Schizosaccharomyces pombe: one gene and its partners. The gene in region 1 interacts genetically with each later gene. Each region holds a gene or a part of one and is shown in the gene's direction. Other genes may lie near its edges. The genes, in order: dbl5, slt1, gef1 and spc34.

Region 1 (5,353 bases):
CATTGCCGCTTGTATCAACATGGGTACTCACAAGTTGCACAAGACTGCTCAATGGCGTGTATCCATGGGTATTAACTTGCTTTGGGGTATTATCATGTTCATCGGTATTTCTTTCCTTCCTGAATCCCCTCGTTATTTGATTGCTATTGGTAAAGATGAAGAGGCTCTTGACATTATGTGCAAAAACAACGTTCTTCCTCGTGAACACGAAATTATTCAAACGGAATACCATGTCATTAAAACTGACTGTGAAGCTGAAATGGCCGGTGGTCCCGCTACTTGGGGTGACATTCTAGGTGCGGATATTCGTTATCGTACCTTCCTTGGTCTTGGTGTCATGTCTCTTCAACAACTTACCGGTGATAACTACTACTTCTACTATGGTTTCGAGGTGTTTGAGGGTACTGGTATGAACTCTCCTTATCTTTCTGCTTTGATTCTTGATGCCGTTAACTTTGGATGTACGTTTGGTGGTCTTTTCGTCCTAGAGTTCTTTGGTCGTCGTATGCCATTGATTATTGGTGGTGTTTGGCAATCCATTACTTTCTTCATTTACGCAGCTGTTGGTAATCGTGCTCTTACTCGTAAGAATGGTACCTCAAACCATCGTGCCGGTGCCGTTATGATTGTGTTCTCATGTCTTTTCATTTTCAGTTTTGCTCAAACTTGGGGTCCTGCCGCATACGTTATCGTTGGTGAATCGTATCCCATTCGTTATCGTTCCAAGTGTGCTGCCGTCGCTACCACTGGTAACTGGTTGTGGGGTTTCCTTATTACTTTCTTTACTCCCTTCATTAGTGACTCCATTGGATTCAAGTATGGTTATATTTTCGCTGCCTGTAATTTGTGTGCTGCTTGTATTATTTTCTTGTTTGCCCATGAAACCAAAGGTCTTACCTTGGAAGAGATTAACGAACTGTATCTCTCCGGCGCTAAGCCCTGGATGCCTAGGCCCGAGAATCTCGGACAAGCTGCAAAGCAACAACAAGAGGTTCTTGAAAAATCTCGTGGTGTTCAAGGTGAAAGTGCCGCTCATCTTGAAAACGTTGACAATGAGGGTATGGAGGATACTTCGAGTAACGACATTACATCTTCTACCTCTTCTTCTGAAGGCCGTGCTAAGCCTGAGTCTAACTATGTTGATGAACAAGATCGCTACGCATAAGTTTGTTGACCGAAAATGGCAATGCTTTCGGTTTACACGAATCGGTAGTTTTTAAATGTTATTTCTTTTTAATGAGTATGTGTTTTTTGCTGATTCATCCTTCATTAAAATCGAATTGTATAATTGGATTTTGGCTGTGCCAACTTTGAGAGTTATTTTTTATTTGCATTTCCTTTGTCGTTGTTATTCAAACTGTTCCGTCCTTTCTGTTAGAGATATTAATATTAAGTTGGTGTGCATGCTTTTTAACTGGTAATGTTTTTATGAGTGGCCCGGTCCTTATTACTATGGAAAGGCGTTGATGAGGAACTGGCAGGGATTGCATTATAATTTTAATAATAATGTAAACAGATAATTTAGTTAAATGCTGATAGTTTTTTCGTTAAGGATTAACAAAAATTAAACAGTTCCTTATTTCTAATGTGCTATTACATATCGTTTTGTGTATTGCGAATTGTAGACATTGAGTAGAAAGGTATGCTGAACAGTAAATAAGCGTAGTATCTAATTGTTGATATGTTATTTAATCCTTGAATGTTTTTGAATAGCATTCGTTCAATTTATTTACCTGGTTAGAACGATGCAAAAAAAGGTTTCCGGTAAGTAATCAACGATATTTACGAGTTAAGTCGGGAGACGTTCAATTCTACTTAGAGTGAAACATTGAAAGCTATGGTTGAAAATATTATACTTAAAACTATACGTGAAATGCCATCGGTGCGTATCTGTGAATAATCCTCATAAAAATCCAAGCTACAAGAAAACGCTATTAGCCATGCTTGTTGAACGCAATCGCATTTTGTAACGTTAAATAAATTTACATATGCCCGAGATTACACTGACTACAAGTCACTAAATGATATTTATGATAATACCAGAAGAATTTGATAATGCAGTTGTAAACCGCTGCATTGCAATACGCAGAGTATTTGCCATCTACAAGAAATATATAAAGTACAAATCAATGGTTGATTTGCTTTGAAGAATTTGCATATAATTCGTTTTTTTAAAGGATTTTATTTAAACTTATTATTTTGATAAAGCTTTCTCTCCGGATTAGAAACGTTAGAGCTCACATACCAAGTTCAATAGTAATTTATCTGTCTGGGCGCAATGGTTAAACGCAGTTCTCATCGCCAAGTAGTTTTGGATGAAGACGATGAAGAAAATTATAATAATAACTTGGACGATGAGAAAATGGAGGTTCTATTAATTCCACAATCCAACAGCACAACTTTTGCGTCTAGTGATGCAACTCAAATGTACAAAAAGTCTCGCATTAGCAGTAATTCAGAAAATAAAAAACAAATCCCCGATACAAAAACTTTGCTCGAAACGTTCCAGAAAATAAAAAAAACTCTGGAATGTCCCATTTGCACAGAAGCTTTACAAAGACCTTTTACCACTCATTGCGGTCATACATATTGTTACGAGGTAAGTGAAAATTTGATGCTTAACACTGGAATAACTTTTCATTATCATTGAATTCCCTCATTGTGAGTGAAATATTGAAAGAGCAAGATTATATCTTTAAAAGTTTCTAGATTTACTTTTTTTCTATAAAGGATTGAAACTAATAAATAGTGTCTTCTAAATTGGTTAAAAGAGTCAAAATCTTGCCCAACTTGTCGCCAAAAACTGTATACACAACCTTCACCAGCATATCTTGTATATGAAATAATGAATGTGGTTGCTGCCTCAAACAGTGGCTTCCCACTTGTGGGAATCAATGAAAATCCAGCAAAGAAGCAAAAGGAGGTATTGTTTGATGGGATGTTTAAACAAGAAGATTCTCATTACCCAAGAAGTATCCTTGTTGATTCTGAAGATGGAGTTTTACGATGCGCTCGTTGCCAATGGGAATTGGAAAATCCGTACCATTGCGATCATTGCGGTTTTCAAATATCGGATGACCAAGATTCTGGTCGTGAATGGTTTTGGGATGGAGAAAATGCTGAGAGTGATTCCAGCCTAAATGGCGATAACACCCGTGGTGGGAATATCTCGACTAACCGCGCATTTAATAATATGGGACATGCGCCAATAACTGCAGTACCACAAGATTGGCTGAGATTTGACGAAGGAGAAGAATTTGTGGGGTCTGATTTAGAATCTGATTTTTCTGGTCCAGGTGAGTACGATGTTGATGATGGATTTATAGATAATCGTGCTACAAGCCAATTATCTCCTGTCGAAAGTGACGATGACTTCGTAGCTCCTGTCAATGGAAGTAATGGAAATGGTATTACTGCTTTGGATAGCACAGATAGTGAAGAGATTGATATTATGAACGGCTTCGATGAAGAGCGCGACTCTGGAGGGACGAATATGGTATCTCGATCTGAGACCTGTTATAACGATGGGCAAAGATACGATGAGTTACGAAGAGAGCTTGCTGACATTCAGAATGAAAGTTTGGATTCTCTCAATTCTTCCTCAAATAATTCTCCTTCTCATAACAATATTCATTCCAGGCAACATCCATTCTCATCAGATGAGGATGAAGGAAATATTGTAACTAATGGAACAGGCCTCCGTAGTTCACAATCATCCAGCCAGAATAGAGGATTTGATCTTGAACCCTATTCCGAGGTATTCACTGCAAGCTATCCACGTCGGCAAGCTCGGCGAACTCGTACAATACAACTAGACTCTGACGAAGAATCATAATTACTCAACTCTAACGAAGAAAAAATTATACCGAGAAATCAAGTAACCTTAACCTGGTCTATGGTTTCTGTTCATGATGAATGATTTAATTGTGATTTGGATTTTGGGTCTCTAGAGCATAAGACACTAAAATTTAGCATACATGTCGGATTTATGACTAAAAAAAAAAATTCAATACTAATGATATTTGTGCATGTTTGTTTTGTCTTATAATTATACCTGCCATTTAACCTCCTAGTTGATACAATTAGTTTTAAATATTATAAAAAAAATGCTAAATATTGTTTTACCGTGTAACGTTGAGACGAATACAACTTCGTCACCTTCTTCGAGGTTATATTCTTCCTTTTCAAGAAGTTCCCAATCCTGGTCATTTACTAAGACGATGATCCCCGGACGTCTGCAGGGAAGTGTTAGTTCTGCAAAATCATTTAAAACATCGTTTGAGCCTGAAAAAGATGATACCACTCCATGTTCACTTACACAGTCCCATTTAAAATAAATAAATCTTTTTGAGAAGGCTTTTCTATTATTTGAGCCATATAATCAATCAATGATCCCAACTTAGTTGAGCCAAGGTTTGAAAGTGACAACGACAACGCTTTCTGCTTATTGAAGAGCAAGTCAAGCCCACCTCTACAATAATAGGTTACCAATTGTAATAAAATATGACACCTACAGTAACTCTACTTTTATAGCCATTGTTTTTTAAAACTTTGGGGATTCGTGAAAGCAACGCAAAATGTACGTTCTAACTGTATATTCCACTGTAGTTGTTAAAGAGTGATAGAAATTCAGTGTCATGTCAGCTACGCAGTTTGGTATCTGTTTAGCGTGTTTTATGACTCACTACGTTATGTATCATTATATGTCACACGCTAACCACCGTATTATGAATACCCGTTGATAACAACTGCTGACTCGATTCCTCAGTTTAGTTATTAGATATATTGGTATTCGATACTATTAGACTTCTTATAACAATAAATATAATATTGTTAGTTAACAGGGCGCATACCGCTATATTGAAATTACTAAAAACCTCACCGCAGTTCTACGTATCCGTAAATCAGATACCAAACTGCGTAGCTTACATTTAAGGAAAGCTAAGTTGGGGTGAATAAAAAAGGCAGTGACAAAATAAATGTGTCAGAAGCAATCCACTGCCTCGTTCAGTTTTTTCGTTCTTCTTTTTTTATGCCATTGTTTGAAGGAATTAGTTGGAAATTTGTTTGAACAATTTTATTATTTTGTTAAAAAGTCTTTAAAGTGGTTGGAATTGGACTACAGAGTGAATATTCTTGATTTCGCTGTTTCGTTTGTCGCAATCACAACAATTGAACTATTTGTGTGTATATCATTCAATAATAGATTGTTTCTAAGAAATGAAGAATAAAGATTATCCCTTGAGGTCGTCTATGGATGAATTGAGTACAAAAAACGATAATGAAATTGATTTGGAAAAAGGTCCTCTCCCAGAATACAATTCAGAAGATGGGAGCACATTGCCTCCATATT
Region 2 (4,765 bases), on another chromosome or scaffold:
ACTTTTATGCAAAGGAGTCTTCCGAATACTTGGCTTCCCATTCTATTACGGATTACTTAAAAAAGGCAGAAATAAGACTAGCAGAGGAGGAAGAGCTTGTGAGATTATATTTGCATGAATCCACATTGAAGCCGCTTTTAGAAGCGACTGAAGATGTACTAATTGCACAACATGAAGAAGTTTTGCACAACGACTTTGCACGCATGCTCGACCAAAACTGCAGTGAGGATATCATTCGCATGTACCGATTGATGTCTCGAACACCTAATGGGTTGCAGCCTTTACGCCAGACATTTGAGGAGTTTGTCAAGAGATCAGGCTTTGCTGCGGTTGCCAAAATTGTTCCCCAGGTCGGTGGAGAAGCCGATGTGGATCCTAAAGAGTATATGGAAATGTTACTTTCCACGTATAAAGCTTCCAAAGAACTTGTTAACACCGCATTTCATGGGGATACTGATTTTACAAAGTCATTGGATACAGCCTTTAGAGAACTTGTCAATCGAAATGTTGTTTGCCAGCGCTCTTCCTCTCGCTCCCCAGAGTTGCTTGCTAAATACGCCGACAGTATTTTGCGAAAAAGCAACAAGAATGTTGACATTGATGATGTTGAAGACTGTTTATCGTCGATTATCATTATTTTTCGTTATGTCGAAGACAAGGATGTTTTTCAAAACTTTTATACTAAGCTTTTAGCCAAGCGACTTGTGAATGGTACCTCTAATTCCCAGGATGCTGAATCTAGCATGCTATCTAAGTTAAAGGAAGTCTGCGGTTTTGAATATACTAGTAAGCTACAGCGTATGTTTCAAGACATCTCCTTGTCTCAAGAGATTACCGAAGCGTTTTGGCAACTCCCTCAGTCACGTGCTGGAAATATAGATTTCTCTGCTCTTGTACTTGGTACATCGTTTTGGCCTCTATCTCCCAACAATGTGAACTTTCATCTGCCAGAGGAATTAGTTCCTTTGTATGAAGGATTCCAAAACTATTACTATAGCTGCCATAACGGAAGGAAGTTAAGCTGGTTGTTCCATCTCTCTAAAGGAGAAATAAAGGCACGCATTAACCCTCAAACTAATGTCACTTATGTGTTTCAAGTTTCTACATATCAAATGGGTGTTTTGCTTTTGTACAACCATCGCGATTCTTATACATATGAGGAGCTGGCAAAAATAACTGGGTTAAGTACAGATTTCTTGACAGGGATTCTGAACATATTCCTAAAAGCAAAGGTGCTTCTCCTTGGCGACAATGACAAGCTTGGTGATCCTAATAGCACATATAAGATCAATGAAAATTTTAGGATGAAAAAGATACGGGTACAGTTAAATCTCCCAATTAGATCTGAGCAAAAGCAGGAATCTCTGGAGACTCATAAAACTATAGAAGAAGATCGAAAGTTACTGCTTCAATCCGCTATCGTCCGTATCATGAAGGCTCGCCGAACATTGAAACATGTAGTGTTAGTGAAAGAGACTATTGATCAAATTAAAAGCAGATTTACTCCTAAAGTGTCTGATATTAAGCAATGTATAGATATGTTAATCGAAAAAGAGTACCTGGAACGCCAAGGCCGCGATGAATACATTTACCTTGCTTGAGAGAAACATCTCCGCGAAATGCTCCAAAAAAAATGATATACTTTTCGAGTGTTATATATGTAATTAATCACGCAATACGAATTTTCTTTTTTCTTTTGTTTACATTCTTGTCTGCTAGTGATCTTTAATCCATTGAAACTAAGCTTTTAATAACGTAGGAAAGTCACCACTCCATTGAAGAAATGTGTAGCTTAGCTACATGCAAGCTATGCAACTTTTTTTTACTACTAGTTACTGGATAGCAACAACAAACTTCTATTATCCCATCATTTTACGTGGATAAGTCGTACAATGAAAAAGAAAAGAAAACAGTTATCGACCACATACATGCACCATTTCACGAAGTACAGATGCTTGAAATTGTGAAAGGATGTCAAAGATATGTTTTATATAATACATTTATTGTCAATTGTCGTCTTCGTCTTCCTCTGCAAATCGCTTGATTCTGTTAAAAAAGACATATATTGATTATTCAGCACGAAGAACGAAATGGTGCTTACAAATTAAAAAAAATTAATTGATCAGACTAATTAAGGCAATTTTAACGTTTTTATTGATTTACTACTTCCAGGTGTTGCTGGAGTGTTCATGGATGAAATGGATGATTCCGGTACATTCCGGTGCCAACACCATAGTATGACATAAATGAGTAAACATCGCGGTTCGCTCATTCTTCTTCAACACACCATCTTCCTTGACATATCGTTCTGAAAAAAAATACTAGGAAGAGAATCGTAGCATAATGGCGACTTTATTTCATCTTATAGATGTACATGGTAATGAATATCAAAATGTGCAAGACCACAGCCTTCAAATGGCCTTAGAAGAGCTGAATCAACAAATCGAAGTGATTCAACGCCAAGAAGAACAATTGGCTTTGCGAAAGAAGGCAATTGAGGATGCAAGGCAAGAAGTGCTCCAGCAAATTCAACATCGAAAATTCCGTCAATACTTGCATGAACGGGAACAAGAGGCTCGTTTGCAAGAGTATTATTTGGAGCAACTGCAAGAGCGTAGAGCTTTTGAAAATGTTGTACGGACTATAATCAGAAAGCGATTTGAGGATGAGGAGCGTGAAAGAGCTCATCGCAGGGAAAAGGCGGCTCGAAAGTTGCTACGCAGAATACTTGTCTCCGATTCACCCAATATGCAGCTTGTAGTGCCAAATAATTTCCAGCAAATGTTTATTCATCATCCAGTCGTAGACACAATATATTCTCCTGAAGAGTCTTCGGAATCCCAAGCTGAAGTCGCTGACCAACAAACTGGCCCATACTCTACATCAGAGTACGCAGGTGCTCAACAATCTCAACCATTTCGCATATTTATTCAAAACGACAATGCACCTGAACAACAAAGTGGCCCAGACGTTGCTGAGCTTAATACGCTACCAAATAGAAGCAAAACGTCTTCTCAAGCTAGTGTTTCTGATGAGGAGCTTTCTCGCACCGAGTTGGCCGAATTGAACGATTATTTATTGGCTGCTCAACGCCGCTCTAACAAACGTGGAAATGCTAGAAAACATATTGACTTAACTGCTCGTGAGAGCCCATCCACATCTTTCGCACAGATGTCGAAAGGTGCTTTGAATCCTGACCCAGAAGTCATTGAACCTGAAGACGAACCTACTACGTTTAGAAACCCACTAGAGGCATTGTTATCGACTGGTCAATATTCAGTGGTAAGTAGTGATGAGGACGTTGAATCTGTTCGTGATCCCGATGACGGGACGTTACCTATTCATTCTACCCAAACAGTTGAAGAGCCCATAGACACGAAGGCGGGAGAGAAATTAACTGACAGCTCAAAACAACCTTCACCTCCTGTTGCTGAACATTTCTCTAATGAGACCTTTTCGGCCTCTCCTAAAGGCGCTGAAACTGATGTAAAGAGTGAAGGAAGCAACAATCATGAGCAAGGCTCATTTAATGAACCTAAATCTAATGTTGACTCTAATGATTCTGCATCTCCGAAAAGACCATCTTCTCAAGCATCTTTACGACATAATGTTACTGTTGAAGAGGTCCCTGACGAGGATGCATGATAAATATTATATTTGTTTATTAAAAGATAAAATTTTCCTTCCTAACTACCAACAAATCTACTTTCAGACGAATCCATTTTTGCACATATCTAATGACCAACATTCACGTAATCACTTATGACTGGATATACGATAATTTAGATAAAAAATTTTCAATGCATTGAACATTTCCTATATCATTTATAACAAGCAACGTAATTACAGATTGAGAAAGCTCATTTTTAGGATTGTAGAAATCATATCGCTCAATTTCCTTTCTCTCTTTAAACTACAGTATCTTTTTACTTACTTAACTAAGGATATTTTCACCGTGAATATTTTAAAAAGAAAGGCTTTCAAGAAAACAATAGTCCCCAAAAATAAAAGGAAATAAGAAAGGAGTGGAAAAGCACTATTGTTTGCTTTGGTACGTAAACGTGTAATAAAAAGTTAAACCTTTTTTAATGTAAGGATCTGTAAAAGGAAGGCGTATTTGGAATAAGTTTGATAATATATTTAGTAGGATTGGAATACTTCTAAACCTCAACTTGAAGAATAGAAAGACAACACTAATTATGCATCGTTGCATAGCAAAACTGAAAACAGGTACAGGTATTGGTTTTCTATATACATTTTATGCATTCATGTATGAGCCAACATCAATTTCATCAGGAAGCTCAGTAATGTTAACCTCAAAACGTTCCTGAATTTTGTCCAAAATTTGAGAGTCTTCTTCTGAACTAGAAAATGTAATGGCCAAACCTTTTGTACCGAAACGACCTGCACGACCGACACGATGAAGATAACTATCAGGGGAATCAGGCATGTCATAGTTAATTACAATGTTGACGCGCTCAATATCAATACCACGGCCAAAAACATCAGTAGCAACGCAAATACGCTTGTCGAAGTCTTTGAAGGCCTTATAACGCTTAATACGCTCTTCCTGAGGAAGACCACCGTGAATGCAAATTGATGGAAAGTTGCACTCACGTAAAAGACGATCAAGTTCATTGGCACGGCTTACTGACTTTACGAAAATGACAACCTGATTGAATTCCAAAGAATCTAACAAATCATTGATTTTCCTGTTTTTAGCTTTTTCCTCCAGCTTAACATAATGTTGTTGGAGACCATGAAG
Region 3 (6,212 bases), on another chromosome or scaffold:
GATGAATTTGTTGTTTGTTTTGTAAAAAAGCTGCTTCAGGTAATAAACGGATTTTAAATAGAAGGTCGTTGATTAAGTTTTTCAGGCTTTAGATGGTAGTTGAGCTTCTACGGATATTAAATGTTAATTACTTCTATCGCTCGAATGGATAATTATTCAAACATCGGAGCCATTGCAATATGCTGACCTTTATTATTTGAAATCCATTATTGTATTAATTATGATATTCCCGTACGTTGCACATTCAGCGCTATTGTAAAAACTGAGTAGGTAATTTTTACTACACCAAAATGTCGATATTATTCGTCAGCTACGAACTTTGATGCTCTAAGTACTTATATTTATCCTTATTATAATAACCTTACCATTTTTTCCTACTACCGTTGTTTTTAATAGTTCCGCTGCTGAAATCACCTTATTGAACATGTGATATATGGCAATGTTGCATTCGTCTCTTCTTATCCACTACCACAAACCTTCTTGAACTGCTATAAAGGAATACACCAGCCAGTTTCTTTGGTCGAGATAGAAAGATTCTTATTTATTTCGTTCGTTTAAACAAACTAAACATAGAACAACATTATTTGCGTCAACACAACATGACTTCACATCAAACTGGGAAAATTGAGGTGCACTGGAACGATCCTTCTTCTGGTATCTTTTTAAGTCAAACTCAACGAACGTCTTCCACATCAAGTTTAAAGAAATCGGCTTCGAGTAGACGTTTGGTTTATGGTGATGACATGCTGGCACCCAAACCGTTAGCTGGTCAAGTACTTAGTAAATCACCACTTCCTCCTTTTTCACCTTCAAAAATTATGAACAGGAGTATATCTGTTCCTCCCACGAATATCTCTGTTCCTCAAATTAGCAGTAATCCTCTCAACTTGATGAAGAAAAGCAGTGACAATGATATCTTTACCACGTTTAACGATACAACAAACGATTGTATGAACGAAGCTTCTTGTGAAGATGTCAGGCACTCCCTATTGCAAATTATAGAAAGTAAATCAAATCTTAGTGATTCTGTTCATAAGATGTTGGGTGAACGAGTCAAAACGAATTTACTATTACAAGGTCAACTAGAAAACATGGAAGGCTTTTGGCTACAAAAATTATCGCAAACATGTCGCTTGGCGTTGACAGGAAACATTAGTGAGGCGAAGGCATTTATTGTAGAAATTATGTGTGCCGGTGTTGTAACTAATTGTGTGCGCTGGTGTCCAGTTTTGAAGACTCTAATTGAAAACCTTGCTATCTAGCTTTACATGTTGTTATATATTTTCTAAATCTTCCTGCTGCAAGTTATATGACACTAATGCTCTTTTTTTCTTAATTCTATCATTTTTAATGATGTTACTCATTTGCATTTTAACAAACCATTTATAAGCATGATTAGCTATGTCGGACGCTAACGAAGTTACAAGTTAAAGGATTTAATAACACTTCCTTTTTGAAATTAGAAGAAATCTTAATAGATATAATGGAAGTTTCCATTTTTTTTACAATATATATTTTTCTTATGGCCTGTCGATTAATAGTATTTTTAGTTTAATTTACTGAAACATTATATTTGTTTTTAGTGAACACCGTAGAATATTTAGGAATTTTGACTAGGTCTGTTTATCATACACACTTAGTATTAGATATCGTGATTTTTTGAATATATGAAAAAAAGTACTACAGACAGAAAATGCAGCGTATTAGCCTCAAGTAATTATTAAAAAAAATAAAAATTTTCTTTTAAAATTATACAGTGTTTACCAAAGTTATGTAAGACAATCAACTGCCGCTTCTCTCTCATTTCTGTTTATATACATCTTTAATGTTTATTACTTATTAAAAAAAAAAAAAAAAAAAAAAAAAAAACAAAGCAAATTACGTGCATTACCAAGAAAACAAAACCGCTCTAAATATTTAAGCTAATTAAAACAATGAAATAACAAATTTATTAACTTGTAACCGTAACAGTGGAATTTATTTTAACTGCTGTCATTTCTAGAATTTCATAAAGGGAGACATGAATAAATTTAACCTTATATTACAAATTGTAAATACGTAAATGTTTATCACAAAATCGAATACTCAAGTCATATTACTATGTACCTGTGCAAGCAACCATTTGTAAACCAAGTACAAAGGTAAACTGCCTCTGTCCGCGGTTGGCGCTCAAAAAGCTGAGCCAAGCCTATTTTTGGCAAACTATTTTTCGTGGGTGATTACGTTATGCATTGGTAATGAAGATAAGGAAGTGGAAGGTATTGAAAGTGGATTAAGAAGAAGTTGGCGCCAAATCTCCAAAACCTGTGCTTTACCAACAACGTTACCTAATAAAATTCATGTAAACAAAATTTCCAAAATTGTCATTCATTTTATTGTTCTCCAAATGTTTTCAATATGGAGACTTTAAAAGCAGATCTTTCGGATATGTCCGATTCCGTATGTCCTTATACTTGATTTGAATGTGTGTATATGTGTTAACAATGTTGATCAGCCTGAGTACTTTGAAACCTTGGCAAACAGGGATTTACCAAGATTGCCTGGAACAAGCAAGCTTCATCGAGCTGCATGTATTAAACGAAAATCTATCAATTTAAGCCTTCCTTCTAACAGTTATTCGCTTTCTTACCGACAATCAGACGACACTGATGGCGATGTTTCAGAATCACAGAGTGAATACAGGTTGAGTAGTGGAAGGAGGTCTCGAGCAAGCTTTGCTCGTGCTTTACAAGATCCCCAAACTCCAAACACTCCTCCCGTATCGTCTCAGCACCGAAGATTCTTTTCGGAGGGCTCCTTCAATTTGCCAAACTCCAACATGAGCCACTCATTAAATGGGGATTCTACAGCCTCTAATAGTTCTACTTTAACCCCTAATCGTATTTATGGGGACCGCAATCGTCAAGATTATGCTCAGTCTAGCCGATATACTTTGCCTTCGTTGCCTAGTTCCCCATCATATAACTGTCCTACAACACTTCGAAAAATACATACAAACACGAGTAGCAATGGAACTTCACGAAGAGTTAGCGGCCTAGGGTCTTTTATGGCACAGAATTCCTCTGAAACTAGCAGTAACAGGACTTCGGCGTATCTACCTGGTAGCTCTACGGATGAACAAGAAAAGCGTTCCAGTGTGACTTTGGCAAGTATGCCTTCCTCTCATTCGTCTACAGCGTCCCTCCTTTCACCTCTTGATACTACTTCTTTTTCTACTAAGTTGGACTCTACTATTTTGGCCTTGGAAACTGATGAGTCTCTCAGCCGAACAATTTCGTATGCCACTACTTCTTTACCGAGCACACCAGGTAAGCGTTTATCAAAGGAATCTCTTGCTATGTCTGAAGCCAGTTCTATCAATCCAGAATATAAGCGTATTAAAAAGCGTGCAAATTTGATTAAAGAGCTGGTTACTACTGAAGCTGCCTATTTAAACGATCTCATTGCGATTCAACAAAGTTATGGCTTGCGGGTCAAAGAATGCAGTGCATTGAATCCAGTTGACGCCCAAACAGTTTTTGGCGATATAGAGTCTTTATTAACTTTTACTGTGGAATTCCATAGTCGACTTTATCAAGCTGGTGAAGGCTCCTGGCGTGTAAACTTGGATACCCAGCTTATAGATCCTCTTCCTTGCAATTTAGGTCTTATTTTTTTAGAAAGCCTTTCTGAAATCGGTCAAATTTATACTGGTTATTGCAACCGTCAAGATTCGGTTTTCAAAATTATCACTAAATGGAGAGAGAAACCTGCAACTGCATCCTGGATTATGGAGGGTGATAAAATAGTTCAAAAATACACGAACGCCTGGGATTTGGGTAGTTTAATAATTAAACCTTTACAGCGCTTACTCAAGTACCCCCTATTATTGCAAAAAATCATTGATGTTACTCCTGAAAGTAGTTCTGAGCGCCCAGATTTGGTCCTTTCTTATCAACTATTACAGGAGTTAATATCTGGTATAAACCAGAAGCAGAAGCCTTCTCATAAGCGTGGGTCGTTAAGTGCTTCTCATAAACGAGACGCTGCTTGGAGTTTACTCTATAAAGCAACATCGAATAAATCTAGGCCCACCACTACATCTACTGAGTTAAAAACTGATGCTCGATTGAATTTTCAACGCCAAGTGCTTCAAGATTTTCGACAACGATTCGCTATATTAAAAGCCTTACATGCTACATTGGAAACGTGGTACGTTACTGTACATCGTGGATTTTCGGTTTTTGAAAAGGTTTTAGCAGAGCTTGAAGGGCTTAGTGCTTTAGAGCCCGAAGACAAGCCGGTAGATACGTGGCGTAAGTATCATTTACTTGCGCACATGATGACTGCTAACCTTCCTTCTCAAATACAAACGTCTTTAAATTCTTCTATCCTTAACCCAATCACAAATATCCTACGAGTGATTCAAAAAGTTATTCAGTTCATTATCAGCGCTGAATTTGTGATTCCTGCTCAAAAGCTTGAGGCAATTTCTACTCTTGTTGAGAAGGAATTTCACAGTGTTGTTTATCATTTTATTGGTATTCAACGCTCTCTCTATGAAAACTACGCTCAAGGTTTCTTGTTTCTTATCCCTCAAGACATGAGGGATAGCATCTTAGAAGAAACGCAAGATTATGCAGAGTTAGTTCGAGCCTTTGAACCCATGCATTATGATGACGAGGTATTGCTGGAGGAATTAATGAAAAGTGTCTCTTTAGCTGCGAGGGTTTAAGAGCAACTTCTTTAGTCGAATATTTTTTATCTGTTCTATATATATACACATTTAGATATACTGCATTCATGTTACTTGAATGATGAAAACGTTTCTCTGGACCATGGTTTTTTGCAGCTTCCATGTATTTAACATCACAATTACATTTATTTAACCTAATATCTGCGTTTGTCTGATTACAATTCGTTTAGGTTCTTTTAACGGTCTTTTTTTGTCTATCACAGAGGCCTGTTAAGTTTAGTTTCAAATTAGGATTCTAAACGCTTTTACGCCTTCCTTTTATGCATCTCATTATTTTTGTCTGCTCAAGTCGAGCTATTAATTATTGTCTTTTCACTTTTTTTTTTTAAACTAGGAACGTTTTGGCTTTTCTGCTGTTATGCCATTTTATTTGTTCATACGCTTCCACTTTTCATTTATATGCTTTAATAATGTATATAATATTTGACTTTCACTTTAACTATGTTTTATGTTTAAAATATGTAATTAGGTTTTGATTGAATTAATTTTGTTCGTCGTTATTTATCCTAGTTGACTAACAAAAACAGGTCAAATTCTTACATTCGTAGTAAAACCAAAACGTAAATAAAAATACTTACGATGAAACAGTCTGGAACCATCCGATAAAGTGCAATGATAAGTACGATAAATAACCTTTTAAAAGTCACACTGTTAATTACGGCAAATACAAATTTATTATACAAGAAACCAAAAAATTTATTTTTATAAAACTGTCTCAATAACCTTCATTATAGGTTAATGAGAACGACGAGAACGGACGGCAGCAGCCAACTGTTCAAAAACGGCGGTAGTGTCGTCCCAACCAATGCAAGCATCGGTGACACTGACTCCATATTTCATACTTGACAAATCATCCTCAGGTATAGCTTGCTTACCTTCGTTAAGGTGAGATTCGATCATGACACCAGTAATTGCTTTCTGACCGTTTGCCACCTGCTCAGCAATACAAGCAGCAACCTTGGGTTGATTCTTATGGTTTTTAGATGAGTTTCCATGAGAACAGTCGATCATGATACTAGGTAGCTTGTTGCATTCTTCGAGTTTAGCCTTGGCACCAGCCACTGAATCAGCATCGAAGTTAGTCCCACTTTTACCACCACGCAAAATAATGTGTGTATCAGGGTTACCTGTAGTAGTAACAATGGCTACAACACCCTGCTTTGTGACAGACAAGAAATGATGAGGGTTGGCAGAAGAATTCATAGCATCTATAGCAATACCAATGTTACCGTCAGTAGCATTCTTAAAACCTATTGGAAAAGAAAGCCCTGAAGCAAGTTCTCGATGCAATTGGGACTCAGTGGTACGAGCACCAATAGCGCCCCAGCAAATTAGATCAGCTAAATATTGGGGACTTATAGTGTCCAGCATCTCTGACGCTATACCGACACCAGTTTCCAGAAGCTCCAGAAAAATGCGTCGAGCGACACGAATACCCTTATTAATGTTATAAGATCCATCCAAATCGGGATCATTA
Region 4 (4,000 bases), on another chromosome or scaffold:
CGGCTTCATAATTAATCAGAGATTCAATTGCCGCGGCTGATGCTTTACTGTCAGCAGCATTTGCTTGACGACGGAATACAGTTCTCCAGGATGTCGTCCTAACAGTAAAAAGAGCATAAAGAGCAACGGTTGTAGCAGCAATGGCCGAAAACGAAGGTCCGTACTTGTAAGTGAGAATACCACTCACCATAGCAATTTCAAGGGTAATAGGAATGATGTGTAACACCATGGAGGAAAGAATGAAACTAATACCTTTTGTACCACGATCCATTGCTCTAGTAATACTTCCTGTTTGCTTTGAGAGATGAAAATTCATGTCAAGGTTCAACAGATGTTGATAGACATTGCTAGAAACACTTCGAATAGCGCTTTGCGACACAATTGCAAAAACGCTATTCCTTAACTCTTGAAAAACGGTAGAAAATATTCTAGCAAAGCCATAACCGAGAACAACAGCTCCTACAGTAGACCACAATGCTCCTACTTCTTGAACAAGTGTTGTATTCATGGTATCGATAATTGATTTAAAGTAAAAAGGAACTTGGACGTTAAGAATTTTGGCAGCTACAAGTAGTGCGAGAGCCGAAACAACTCTAACTTTCAAATTAGTCTTCCCCTTGGGCCAAATATATTGAAGCATGTCCTTAACAATCATTTGTCCTGTTACATTTTTATCATCTGGTACATCGGAAGCAAGTTTAACAGAAGTATTCAGTGGCTCTTTTTCTTTTGATTTGTTATTCCATAACGCTTTTGAAGCCGAATTATTTCCATTTCTAAGTGGGAAACATTGCTTAGATGCAAAATTGGAAAACCGCAGTATATGTTGAAGAGGTAATATATTTGACTTTCTTAAAACAAGATAAGTTCCACGAGAATTAAGAAAAGAGCGAGCTGGAATATTTCTTGGCGAGCTGATTAATTTCCAGGGACATCGTTCTAGCATTTTTATTAATACAACACTTTAAGATGTCAGAGCTTCAAGCTGTTAGTTATACCCAATATACTGCTCTTCTATTTAAGATAATTAAAGTTTTTAAATCTATATTTAAATAGAATAAACTTGGCTGATAGAATATGAAAAACAGACGAAACGTTCAGTCAGAAAAACCTCAAATAGCCTCCAAAGAGGCAACTTTTTAATAGATGGTATATATGAATAAAAGAACTAAGAGAAGGATAATTCTCAAACCTTTAGTTCTATAAATCTGGCAGACTTAGAAAGTTGTAGATTTTGATTAGATCACGATTGCGAAGTAGAGTCCAACAATTGCAAACTCATCAAAACTGCACTGAGGATTACGAAATTTTTAGCGTGTATTAACCTTTATAAAAGTTTTACATATAATTATTAATGGATAATCTGAGCTGAAGAAATGTGTGCCTAAAGCGTAAACGTAAGAATGATTCGGTGTAGCAAATAAAGGAAAATAGCAAGGAATGAACGCAATGCTTTACCTTTGTTAAAATAATTTGCTGAGCGAGAACAGAATTTCAAAAACAGGCACAGGTGATTTCCATTATATCAAAGATACCAAACGTTTATTACGTTTTGGTTAAACCACCTGCACACACCCAGAGATTGCATACACTTTTGGCAACTCTGGTAAAGTGAATTGAAACATACCTTTTACTAATTACGAGTCGAATTAGTGTTTTTGATGACTTATTAAATAAATGTCTGATTTGTTGAATTATTTACAGTCTATTGCTGCTACATCAGAAAAACTTTTGGAACCGGAAAACCCAAACGCAGCACGTTTCACAGACGCGGTGCTACATACTCATGCTATAACTGATTTAATTCGCGATACTCAGAAGGAAGAACTAATTGCAGCTGAGTTCAAATCTCTACCGAAGGATTGGAGTGAAAGGTTGGCATCAGAAAACCCTGCAGACTACGTTGCTTGTATTGAGGAACTACTAGATATATATCCTATGCAAGGTGGCCGTGAATATTTGGAGACTCTGGTTGAGAAATACAACTTACATATGTCAGGAATTGAGAATTTGGAAAACGTTTTACTGGAACAGAAAGAGCAATTGCAGCAACTTGAAAAACGACAAACCGATCAGGTGTCTGCTAGGGAGAATATTCTACAGCGTGAAACTTCTGAAATCCAAAGACTTGAAAGAGAAATTGAAAAAGTGAAGCAACTGATACAATCTTAGGAAGGCTATTTGCGTTGGTAGTCAGATCGACTTTTCGTATTGGTGAACATTTAGAAAAGGAGAAGCGAGGTCGTTGTTTTATCATGGATTTGAGCAAAGAACAAGAAATGTATTTAAGCGAGGATATAAAAGACCATGGACTCATTCCTTTGAAGTTACATCCTCAAAGAAGCACCCGAGATATTTCTGATTGCAGTTATCCTTCGACGTCAGATGATCGATCGGCTTACTCCCAATACAAACTGATGAAGCTGAAGAGGAAAAAAAGAAGTCGATGTTTTGATATATCATCCTTTAAAAAGCATATTGAAATGTCGCTTGCTAAGAAAAAAGCAAGTTCGTCTACTGTTACTTTGAAGGCTACAAAAGAGCTAGAGGATTATGAATACCTAGAATATGAAAAACATAAAGAGAAGAGAAGAGAATCTTTGGACTGTTTGCTCCAGGAATTCTCTAAAGCGGCAAAGATATTGAACGAAGATAATTAGCAAACTAAGTACATTACAACTCAGGAGCATAATAACTCATTGTTTTTGTAATATTCTCATTTATAGAATAGTATGTGAAAAATACAATAATGTTCATGATAAGTTAAAGACGGCAATTAGATTACTGGCTCAACGCCAGCTTTTGCATTGGACTCATTTGTTGTAATGAGTTCTTAATATTTATACAAACATAAGTACATACTTGTTCTTAAAAGTTCTAAAAGATTTTATTTAAGATATAAATAAAAGTTCAATAGCATAGTATGATAGCAAGTAATGGAACACTATGTATTTATTCTATATTTGATTATTAATATAGAGTAAAAGTCAGGTTCATAGTGTTTCTATTGACTCGTCAACTATAATTATTTTTTGTTGTTACTGAATGATAGAATTTGAACGAATGTTTTAATTGCTAATACCAAGGCTGCTGCTCCACCTTAACAATCACACATTACGCCAAAAAAATTATTTACTCGATTTCTCAAAAAAAACAATAAAAAAGGATCAATAAGAATACCTTTATTAAGAAAAACTTCTTCTTTGGAAAATTAAAGAATACACTTACTGTTGTTTATTTCAGTGTTTGTTATTGTATTCACAATTATTTATTTGTTTACTTATTACATAAGGCTAGTGGATCACCTTAATCTTTCTAACTACACACACCATAAGAGTACAAAATTTTAGCAAGTATTTTGTATCAATTGAAATGTTTAACTTTACAAGACAGTATAGTGTTAAAGACGGCTTAATAACAGATGAATTGGCCAGTCACATCGTTGAGAACTTGCCAGCAAGATATGCTTCTGCTGAAACTTGGAAACGAATCTATTCGTTGCAACATGACGGCGCATCTCTTCAAACAATGTACTTAGCCTGCGAAAAGGAAAAAGCTCGAAGCGGCCATCCTAAAGGGGCTTGCATTTTAGCTGTGCGCGATACAGACGGCGATGTTTTTGGAGTTTTTATCCCTGATTATTTAATTCCTGCACCTCATTACTTTGGTTCCGAGGAAACCTTCTTGTGGAAATATTTTCCTCCCAAAAAGTATGTACATTACCCTTTCGTAGGAAATTCCAATTTTGTTGCATATTGCACCAAAAGCTTTTTGGCATTTGGTGGGGGTAATGGAAGATACAGCCTTTGGCTTGATGGCTCTCTAGAGTACGCTTACTCTAGTCGTACTCCTGCATTCGAAAACAATCCTTTGAGCTATCGTGGCTGTCCTGACCAACGAATCCAAATCGTGGACATCGAGCTCTGGGTATTGGAGTAATATCAACTAACGAATGAAAAGAAAAAAGAAAATAAAAGATGGACTCGGAAATGTGCATCAG

What was found.
Region 2: mutations in dbl5 (region 1) and slt1 together harm fitness more than expected from each alone (negative genetic interaction), as found in Schizosaccharomyces pombe (one large-scale study listed by BioGRID).
Region 3: mutations in dbl5 (region 1) and gef1 together harm fitness more than expected from each alone (negative genetic interaction), as found in Schizosaccharomyces pombe (one large-scale study listed by BioGRID).
Region 4: mutations in dbl5 (region 1) and spc34 together harm fitness more than expected from each alone (negative genetic interaction), as found in Schizosaccharomyces pombe (one large-scale study listed by BioGRID).

What each region holds. Positions count from the first base shown.
Region 1 is NC_003421.2:222,569-227,921, reverse strand, and holds dbl5 (ubiquitin-protein ligase E3 Dbl5), read left to right. Parts: upstream 1-2,103; 5' UTR 2,104-2,278; coding exon 2,279-2,599; exon of another isoform or gene 2,600-2,749; coding exon 2,750-3,835; 3' UTR 3,836-4,061; coding exon of another isoform or gene 4,062-4,069; 3' UTR 4,070-4,125; coding exon of another isoform or gene 4,126-4,235; 3' UTR 4,236-4,318; coding exon of another isoform or gene 4,319-4,471; 3' UTR 4,472-4,514; coding exon of another isoform or gene 4,515-4,537; 3' UTR 4,538-4,569; downstream 4,570-5,353. Other genes in the region: hexose transporter Ght8, read left to right, coding at 1-1,165; ubiquitin-like protein modifier Urm1, read right to left, coding at 4,062-4,069, 4,126-4,235, 4,319-4,471, 4,515-4,537; wtf meiotic drive antidote Wtf4, read left to right, coding at 5,221-5,353.
Region 2 is NC_003424.3:3,613,283-3,618,047, forward strand, and holds slt1 (protein slt1), read left to right. Parts: upstream 1-2,280; 5' UTR 2,281-2,343; coding exon 2,344-3,645; 3' UTR 3,646-3,818; downstream 3,819-4,765. Other genes in the region: cul1 (cullin 1), read left to right, coding at 1-1,601; TREX complex subunit, ATP-dependent RNA helicase Uap56, read right to left, coding at 4,259-4,765.
Region 3 is NC_003424.3:469,085-475,296, reverse strand, and holds gef1 (RhoGEF for Cdc42 (Gef1)), read left to right. Parts: upstream 1-2,306; 5' UTR 2,307-2,397; coding exon 2,398-2,439; intron 2,440-2,494; coding exon 2,495-4,714; 3' UTR 4,715-5,316; downstream 5,317-6,212. Other genes in the region: SPOM_SPAC24H6.08 (uncharacterized protein), read left to right, coding at 600-1,262; SPOM_SPAC24H6.10C (phospho-2-dehydro-3-deoxyheptonate aldolase), read right to left, coding at 5,471-6,212. UniProt on the Schizosaccharomyces pombe protein: Has a role in the control of cell polarity and cytokinesis. Involved in bipolar growth, via modulation of cdc42-shk1-orb6 signaling, and septum formation. Stimulates guanine nucleotide exchange of cdc42.
Region 4 is NC_003424.3:3,672,472-3,676,471, reverse strand, and holds spc34 (DASH complex subunit Spc34), read left to right. Parts: upstream 1-1,577; 5' UTR 1,578-1,677; coding exon 1,678-2,172; 3' UTR 2,173-2,773; downstream 2,774-4,000. Other genes in the region: ABC family Fe transporter Atm1, read right to left, coding at 1-946; V-type ATPase inhibitor and disassembly protein in response to oxidative stress Oxr1, read left to right, coding at 3,373-3,939. UniProt on the Schizosaccharomyces pombe protein: Component of the DASH complex that connects microtubules with kinetochores and couples microtubule depolymerisation to chromosome movement; it is involved in retrieving kinetochores to the spindle poles before their re-orientation on the spindle in early mitosis and allows microtubule depolymerization to pull chromosomes apart and resist detachment during anaphase.